Saccharomyces cerevisiae S288C: one gene and its partner. The protein of the gene in region 1 interacts with the protein of each later gene in a pairwise test. Each region holds a gene or a part of one and is shown on either strand. Other genes may lie near its edges.

The links.
Region 2: the proteins of TPO3 (region 1) and HNM1 interact in a protein complementation assay, tested with the Saccharomyces cerevisiae proteins (2 studies listed by BioGRID).

What each region holds. Positions count from the first base shown.
Region 1 is NC_001148.4:837,317-841,680, forward strand, and holds TPO3 (spermine transporter), read right to left. Parts: upstream 2,462-4,364; coding exon 593-2,461; downstream 1-592. Other genes in the region: NCA2 (Nca2p), read right to left, coding at 1-97; TDA6 (Tda6p), read left to right, coding at 3,950-4,364. UniProt on the Saccharomyces cerevisiae protein: Cell membrane polyamine/proton antiporter, involved in the detoxification of excess polyamines in the cytoplasm. Recognizes spermine, but not spermidine.
Region 2 is NC_001139.9:361,578-365,594, forward strand, and holds HNM1 (Hnm1p), read right to left. Parts: upstream 2,340-4,017; coding exon 648-2,339; downstream 1-647. Other genes in the region: RNA-dependent ATPase DBP3, read right to left, coding at 1-282; 60S ribosomal protein uL30 RPL7A, read right to left, coding at 2,758-3,387, 3,856-3,949. UniProt on the Saccharomyces cerevisiae protein: Sole choline transporter in yeast. Also transports ethanolamine.

The DNA of each region.
Region 1 (4,364 bases):
ATTGTTGCTGTGAATCAAATGCAACCTCTCGTAGTGATTCCTCTAATGAATGACTTATCTCTTCAAAAGATTTCAAAATACGCCTATTGATGATCATTTAAGAATATTAATTAAGGAACCTGCAATTTTGCAATAGGACTATTTTGTTGACTTTGTTGTTATTACTAAGTTTTAAAGTGGAAAAGAATTCCGACCCTTTGTTTAGTGAGTGGGGGTCAATCAAATTCGTATTCCTCGGTCAAATGAGGAGGAATGTAAAAACCGAAAATAAAGTCATCGCATAGGTACAAGAAGAATGAACTTGAGAAGTTCAAATTTCTAATTCAATTTTTTTTTTTTTCTATACATATAAATTAATAAAGTTACTCACGGTTTGAAGGTCAATCAATATATTTGTTTAGGATAGCAATAGATAAAAGAACAATAGAGAAAGAATGTAAAATACGTAAAAATATATGTACATTACTGTCGGATAATGGTTTGAATGCATGTTTGATATGTTTGCTTATGTTTGCTTATGTTTGCTTATGTTTTTATCATTACTACTACTATAATTTTTCATTATTATGCTCGATTCGTAAAATCGTTACTCTTATTCAATACTATCTATGGAATAATCCTTCTTGGATAACTTATGTCTCAAACCTTTGCCCCAGTAAGAAAATGCAAAAGGTAAAGCAATCATAGCAGTGGAGATGAAAGCCAACAACCAAGAACCCCAGTGCAGATTCAATTTGTGGTACATTTGAATGGTAAACAAGGGGAAGGCAGCACCACCGGCGGATCTTAAGAAAACCTTTGTAGCCAGAGCACTGGATGCGTATTGGACGTAGCAATCAATAATGTAATTATTCAATGAATAATAAATCAACACCATACCGAAACCAAAAGCTAAACCAGCTGAAGCTGGACCAACCCAAATAATATGTTTATAAGCGGTAGCACCCAGGATCCATAAAGCAATTGCAGCAAATGGAGCACCGATCTTAGCACCTAGCAAACGATCTTCAGGAGTAGGTTTACGCTGTTTGACAATTTGTAAATACTTGTTTTCACAGTAGAAAGTTGTGGCTAACGCCCAAAGAGCACCGATAACAATAGGAATAAACATCAAACCCACAAGGTTGTCTTTGTAGCCATATAGTTCACCGAAAATGACAGGGAAGGCAAAGAAGAACGCATATAGTAGAGAGTAAATCAAACACACGTAGAAACAAGTAGCAACTAGAACAGGTTCAGTGACAGAGAAGTACAAAGGTCTCAACAGACAAGCCCTCATCATTTCACCCATACTGACACCTTGCGCTTCCTGCTCAGTCATAATCTTGGGATTACCAGTTTCCTTTCTTAATCTAGCAGCCTTTCTCTTCAAGATAACTGGAGCGTACGTTTCTGGGATGGCAGAAGATATGATCCACATAACACCTGCAAAGGCCATATTGACCCAGAAAATCAGGTCCATACGTCCGGTAGAAACGGAAATAAAACCGTTAACTAGTGGACCAACAACGGGACCAACGTAAGGAGCAAAAGCGAAGAAAGCAATAGCCTTACCTCTTGTTTCACTTGGGAACATATCGGCAATAGACCCACCAACTAAACACAAACCAGATGATGACCAAACACCACATAAAAATCTACAAGCTAAAAGACTACCTAGATTTGGAGCTAAGGCGCAAGGGATATTGAAGATGACATAAAGACCCATAGAAACAAAGTAAGCAACTCTTCTACCGTAAAGATCACTAACAGGAGACCAAATCAAAGGACCCAGCGAGAACCCAATAACCATTAAAGAAACCGATAAAATAGCGGCTTCCATACCTACATGGTATTTCTTTTCAACGGTTCCCAACCCACCACTGATACAAGCAGACCCGTAGGCGACACAAATAACTAAGATTGACAGTAGGACAGTGTAACTCCAACGGATCCATGCAGGCCAGTTATGGGGGTTTTCTGGATCGCCAGTCACAAAGGTAACGAATTCAATTTCCGGATCTAGATCTGGAGCTTCGTCATTCGCACCACTAGAGTCGCCTTCTTTACCCTTTTCGTTATTATCACTTTCTAAAGCATCTTCATTAGAAGAAGGCGAAGAAGCGCCATCGATCTGTCTAGTTCTCGTACGGGAAATCGCAGTAGAAGTTCTACCTATGGAATGTAGAGTGGCGACAGGAACTAAACCTGTAGGGGTTTCTAAAGTATATTCTTCAGGAAAAATCTTATTCTTGCTAGATTGAGGAGCATTAACATCAGGAACGGGGGCTTTGGAGCTCACACCCATGTCCTGCAATGACTTCACGGTTTCCGTCCGGGTCAACTTCAGTTGATTAGGAGCCATGTTGGATTTAGATCCACTCTCTGAAGGGATATATTGTTGCGGCTGCTGACTTTCTACATCAGACAACGAAGATGTTTCGTCTGAATTAAACGAATTTATGGATTCCTGTCTGTTCATTTCTGTTTATCTTTGGCTAGAGGAGTACTAATGCAAAATTAAAATAATGAAGTAAGAAGGGAGAAAGTAATTAGTTATATTAGAAAACTAGACCACGAAATTTGTAGTATAATTATGGGTATGACAATTAAAGAATTAGGGTGAACGCTACCGGTGAGGACAAAAAAGGCTGAACGAAGAAGAAAAATAAAAAGAAGATTAGATCAACGCACCTAGACGAAAAAGAGCAAATACTGCTTATTGTATTCACTTTGGAGAACAGGTTGTAACAGGACAGCTGACAATTGCTAAGTTAAGTAGATTACAAAGACAAATGTTCTTAGGCGAAAAGAATATATAAACTAAAAGAAAAAGTGGAAAAAGGGTACGTGTAAAAAGAGACTAGGATGGTTGAGCAGCGAATGATTGCAAGATATATAAAAGAAACGAGCCAGTTTTACAGCGTTTAACGCAGATCCAGAATATGAACAAAATGCATTAGGAAATAAATGAAAAAAATGGCTCTATGGATCAGGGATCATCATGGCTGCCGGAAACTACGCCGTTCTGTTTTGTTTTTGTTTTTCCTTTTTCCCGTTTGGGTGAAATCAGTGAGCTGTTCCGATCCGTTGGGCGAAGACATTGCCGCAGTGACGAAGCCCGGCTAGTCCGATTGGGCTCCAGTAAACCCCTCGCCAAGCACAGAGAAGCTAGTCAGAGGCCCGCTAGACTGTACTTACTGGTCTTTAGCACACGACGACCGTACTTTGCACGTGGCTGCAGACACATTTTGTATGGAGGGAATGCTTGATTATATAAAGAGCTCTGTTTTTATGTTACCCGTCCAACGTTCTCACCCGGCTCCGCGCTATTTTTTTTTTTTTTTTTTTTTTTTTTCAGACCCACACAAAATCCGCGTAGCCGAGATTGCTTATGTATGTTATCATATTGCCTGTTTGAGATATGCAGGATCAGCATAGCATGTCTCTAACCAAATTGTGGGTCAGTCAATTATGTTGCTCTTTTGGGTATACGCTTTCACCGGATTCTCGAGAAATCGTATAATGCATGCCCCAAAGCAGTGGCCGTTCTCGGAAAAATAAAAATAGTTTATATCTCAATTTAGTTATATGGCTATGACGGAAACGACAAAATCAAATTGAAACTTAGAAAAAATAAAAAACAGCGCATTATTAAGGTTTCATGACTCCGTATTCGCTGTCCTACGTGTAAATAGGAAGAAGAAAAAAGTGAAAAAGGAAGAACCCTTCTTTTGAAGGAAAGCATAACTCGTTACTCATACGACGGATGCGAGATATACTCTCTACGTAGTTGTACTAGCCGAATGAAAAAAGAGAAAGTTCCGAATATGTAAAATTGAAATTTCTCTTCTTTATAATAGAACTAACAATTGAACTTTCCTTTTCTTTTGAAGCTACCGTCAATGACAAAGAAGGCAGCTTTGATAAAGTACTCAATAGGTAAAGCAAACTTCAATTCAGTTAGCGAATGCATTGCGTACTAGCGCGAATATTGTTATGGTTCTTAATAGTAGATCTAAGCGTCATACGGGCGCTTGTCCTTCCACCATTGAAAGATTATGATCCGTTAGAGCCTTTGATGAAAAGAGACATGGCCATGGGTCAACGGAACAGATTCAAAGTCGACGGCCAATTGCCGCCCATACTAAATTCCACAGATGTGACAGATGATCAGAGAAGTCTGCATACGCCTGGAGAGATTCCATCTTATGTCATCAATCATTGTCCCTTAGTGCACTTGTATAGCGAAGAGAAATATTGGCCATCGGACATTGCTGAGTACGTTCAAAACTTCCAAATTAAAGATAAAAACGGCAATTCTATATCCACTCATGAAAATTTGACACTGCATGACTTGAAGGCGGAATACCACGTAGATTTAT
Region 2 (4,017 bases), on another chromosome or scaffold:
ATATTCGTCAATATCAGATTGTGGAAGACTGGTTAGTGCTTCACTCTGAACATAAAACTCACTAGCCACTGCAGAAGTAGGTTCAGGTTTCTTTTCAGATTCTTTCTCTGGTACTTCCACTTCCTTCTCACCCTTCTTCTCCTTCTTATGCTTTTTATGCTTTTTATCCTTCTTTTCCTTCTTGTCTTTCTTATCCTTTTTGTGTTTCTTACTCTTCTTTTTTTCAATTACCTCCTCATCTACAACCTTTCTCTTCTTGTCTGCGATTTCTTCCTTTGTCATTTTAATCCCCTATATATCAAACTGTTAATACTTATGCTTTCGTTAAAAGGCTGTAAAATGAAGTTAAGCTATATCTCTGAGCTGCTATATTGTTGCCTATCTATTATTAATATTTTTTTTTTATTTGCTTCTTATGCGATGAGGTGAAAAATTTTTCATCTTTTTCCCGCAAAAATATTTCAAGAAATTTGAATTACAGTCACATCGCTTTCAAGAGCGCAAAGCCTGAGGGATATTTAGGTTGAAATATCTTAGTCCCTCGTCTAAAATGGCTTAACAAACCATTAAAAAAAATTCACTTTTATTACTTCTATGCAAATAATATACTTAAAATAAATAACGGTCGACTGATCAACACTATAAATTCACTTCTTTCCCCACGGTACGTGTTCATTTTCGAGTTCAACGTCAGAGGCCGCAACGGAAAATTCTCGACTATCTTCAATGGTATCGAAGTTATTACTATATTCAGCCTGTTCGTTCTCAGATTCTTCTAAAGCGTGGAATTCCTTCTTACCCTTGTATTTCCAGTAAAGAATCGAATACGCAGTATAACCAACAATAACTACACAAACATAGTTCATGTTATCCTTTGTCACAGGTAAAACTGGTGGAAAGGAAAAAAAGACCACAGAAAAGACAGTCCAACCCAAAAGAACAATGTTTGAAAAAAATCCAAATTTTCCAAGCCAGAATGGACCATGAGCTATGTTACGCTTTTTAGCAAGTAAACATATAACCGGAATGATGTAGGATAACAATAAAAATGCAATACAACCTGTAATTAAGGACTGAAAAGCCGTACTGGAAGCCAAATAAAGTAGGCCAATGAGGGTTATCCAAGCGCATGACATTAAATGAGCGTTCAAAGGTACACCAGTGTGTGGGTTAACTTGCGACCATAAACGGGATAATGGAAGACCATTGTCCCTGGCAAATGACCAACATAACCTTGCCTGCCAAGTGTGACAAGCAATGACGCAACCAAAAGAGGTAAATAGAATCAAGCAACCCAGGAAAATCGCACCTGATTTATTACCCAATGCCTGATTATAAATGTCCAAGATTGGGGCGCCTGTTGTAGAAGACAAGACAGCGTCCAGATCTTGTATAGAGAAGAACATAGCGATAACATAACAAAAGGAAGTGACAAACCCAATGGCGACTGTTCCCATGATAGCAATGGGAATAACTCTTTCTGGTTTTTCAACTTCAAACGCCATATGGGTTGCACAGTCAAGGCACGAAAATGACCAAGCTGGGTTAATCAAACCGACAATAAAGGCGATACCGCCGTTCTTCCAACCTGTTTCATTATTAAATGTGGCAAAAACAAACTTTGCATCGTTGAACTTTCCATGAGAACATGCCAATACAGTAATTGTAATTGTGAAAAAGGATAGTAGGGAAATGTATAGAGAGGAAGATGAAATGATAGGTAAGGATTTACCGTAACAGTTGAAAAACATCAAGAACAAATGCAACAATTCAAAGCAAACGAATATATGCCATCTCTTTGGGATGAATTCAGGGTGCGTCAGAGCGTACATACCAACCACTTCGGTAGCAACGGATAACGTAGTTGAAGCACTTGTGAACACGGATCCTGCGTAAGCAAATGAACCGCACATGTAGGCCGCAAATCTTTTGTACTTAGGAGGGGCAAGCTTCAAAGACCACCAAAACTGACCACCGGCGTGCGGATATGCGGAAGATAATTCACCCAACGAGGTACCAATGCAAATAGAAATCAGGGCAACAATAATTATACCGTAAACAATCATCATGGGTCCACCAGAAGATATACCTGCAACCATCGATGTAGAAATACCGAACCAGGAATTAGTCAAACCGAATCCAACACCAAGAATTGACCACAACGAAAATGACTTTCTTAGATGAACTTCACCATCTGCTGCTACAGCACCCTTGCTATCCATATCATCCAATGGCTTTATTTCCTCCTCAACTCTTAAGTCTCTTTTGTGCATAGAAGCGTTCGAAGATTGATCCGGCTGCATATAGCCACCGGAAGCATTATCATTCCGAATACTCATCGTTCTTCAAAATACTAATTTCTGAGTAAATGAGCCAGTTAACACTGAAAGATATTCTTTCTATGGAAGTTCGAAGATATTATAATTTTTCTTTATGCAAGCTATATATGATAAGCACAGACACCTTCTTTCCAATTGTTGGTATTCAAGGCTTTTATAAATAAGTTGGCTAACTTTCGTTGAAATATCGGCAGTTTAGAGAAGTCAAGGCCGCTTATCTTCAGTTTTCATTTTTTTTTTTTTCGTTATATAGGTTCTGCGCATGTGAAAAAAAAGAGAAGAAAATAAAGCCAATTATAAGTCATTACTGACGAAATTATAAGATAAATTAGAGGTACAATATACAAACTAGTGAATAACAGAACTATATAGGACTTAGATAAAATAAGTAGTTATATGTAATGTGACTTCAACCAGTTTAGTTCATGGACTTAACCAATTTGTTGATGAATTCTTCACGGTTACCGAAAGAACCACCTTGGATAAAGTGCTTGAACTTTCTTGGGACACCCCAACCACCAGATGGGTTGGACAACTTGAATGGCCACAAAAAGTTGTTAGCTTGCTTGAAGTGTGGACCAACAGTGATGATTTCGTGAATCAAATCGTCAATGGACAAGATACCATACTTACCCAAGTTGGCTTCGATGATAGCATTGTCGGACAATGGAACTCTTTGCTTGTTGATCTTACCGAAACCTCTCTTGTAGACCAATTGTCTAATAGTAGAGTACGATGGGTAACCGTAAGCAACGTATGGTTCAATCAACTTCAATAGTTCCAAAGTAGCCTTGGTAACTTTGACGAATGTACCAGAGTTGATTCTTGTCAATCTTAGCAATTGTAGAACCTTTCTTGGCTTAGGTGGGATCTTGTTAATACCCTTGATTCTGACAACGAAGACCAACTTGTGTTGAGCTTCGACGTAGTAGGAACCAGCAGCCTTGGCATCACGCTTAGCTTGAATGATGTTTCTTTCAGCAGTTTCGTATTCCTTTTGGTAAGCGGCGTTTCTTTCCAAAATAATGGCTCTCTTTTCCTTGTTAGCCTAAATGAAAATAAAAAGTAAAAAACAGTAAATTGATGTTAGTAAAAAAATACCAGATGGAAAACACAGTATTTTATGCTAAAAATTGTTACACGGCATTATCACTCAATGGTTTTTCTGACACTGGAAACACGGCAATAATTGTAACCTTAATACCTTAACTCTCTGGTCTATTTTACTTTCTATTTCTTTTCTTATAATCAGTCGAAAGATGGTGATAAGTTACGACAGCATCGTCAATGACTAGTCGAATATGTATTGGGATACAATGGATTTTCATCATAAAATGAGAAAACAAACAGAACGTAACAAATAGTCCATTAGCCTAATGATACCACAGGTGTTGAGAATATTGCAACTGTTCGAATGATACTTATCAAAATTGGCGACGCACGTGAACTCACATATATCCCAGTAAGAAAATGTGTTGCAGCATAAAATATAAATGTAAGCAAAAGTTTAACATACAGCCTTACGAGCAGCTCTTTCAGCAGCGACTTGTTCAGCAGTCTTTTGTTGAGCCTTAGACTTCTTCAACTGAGATTCTGGGGTCAAGATTTTTCTGTAATAATACAAATAATAAAATATTTTTGTTAGCATAACCGAAAATAGAATGAATTAGGTTTGTAT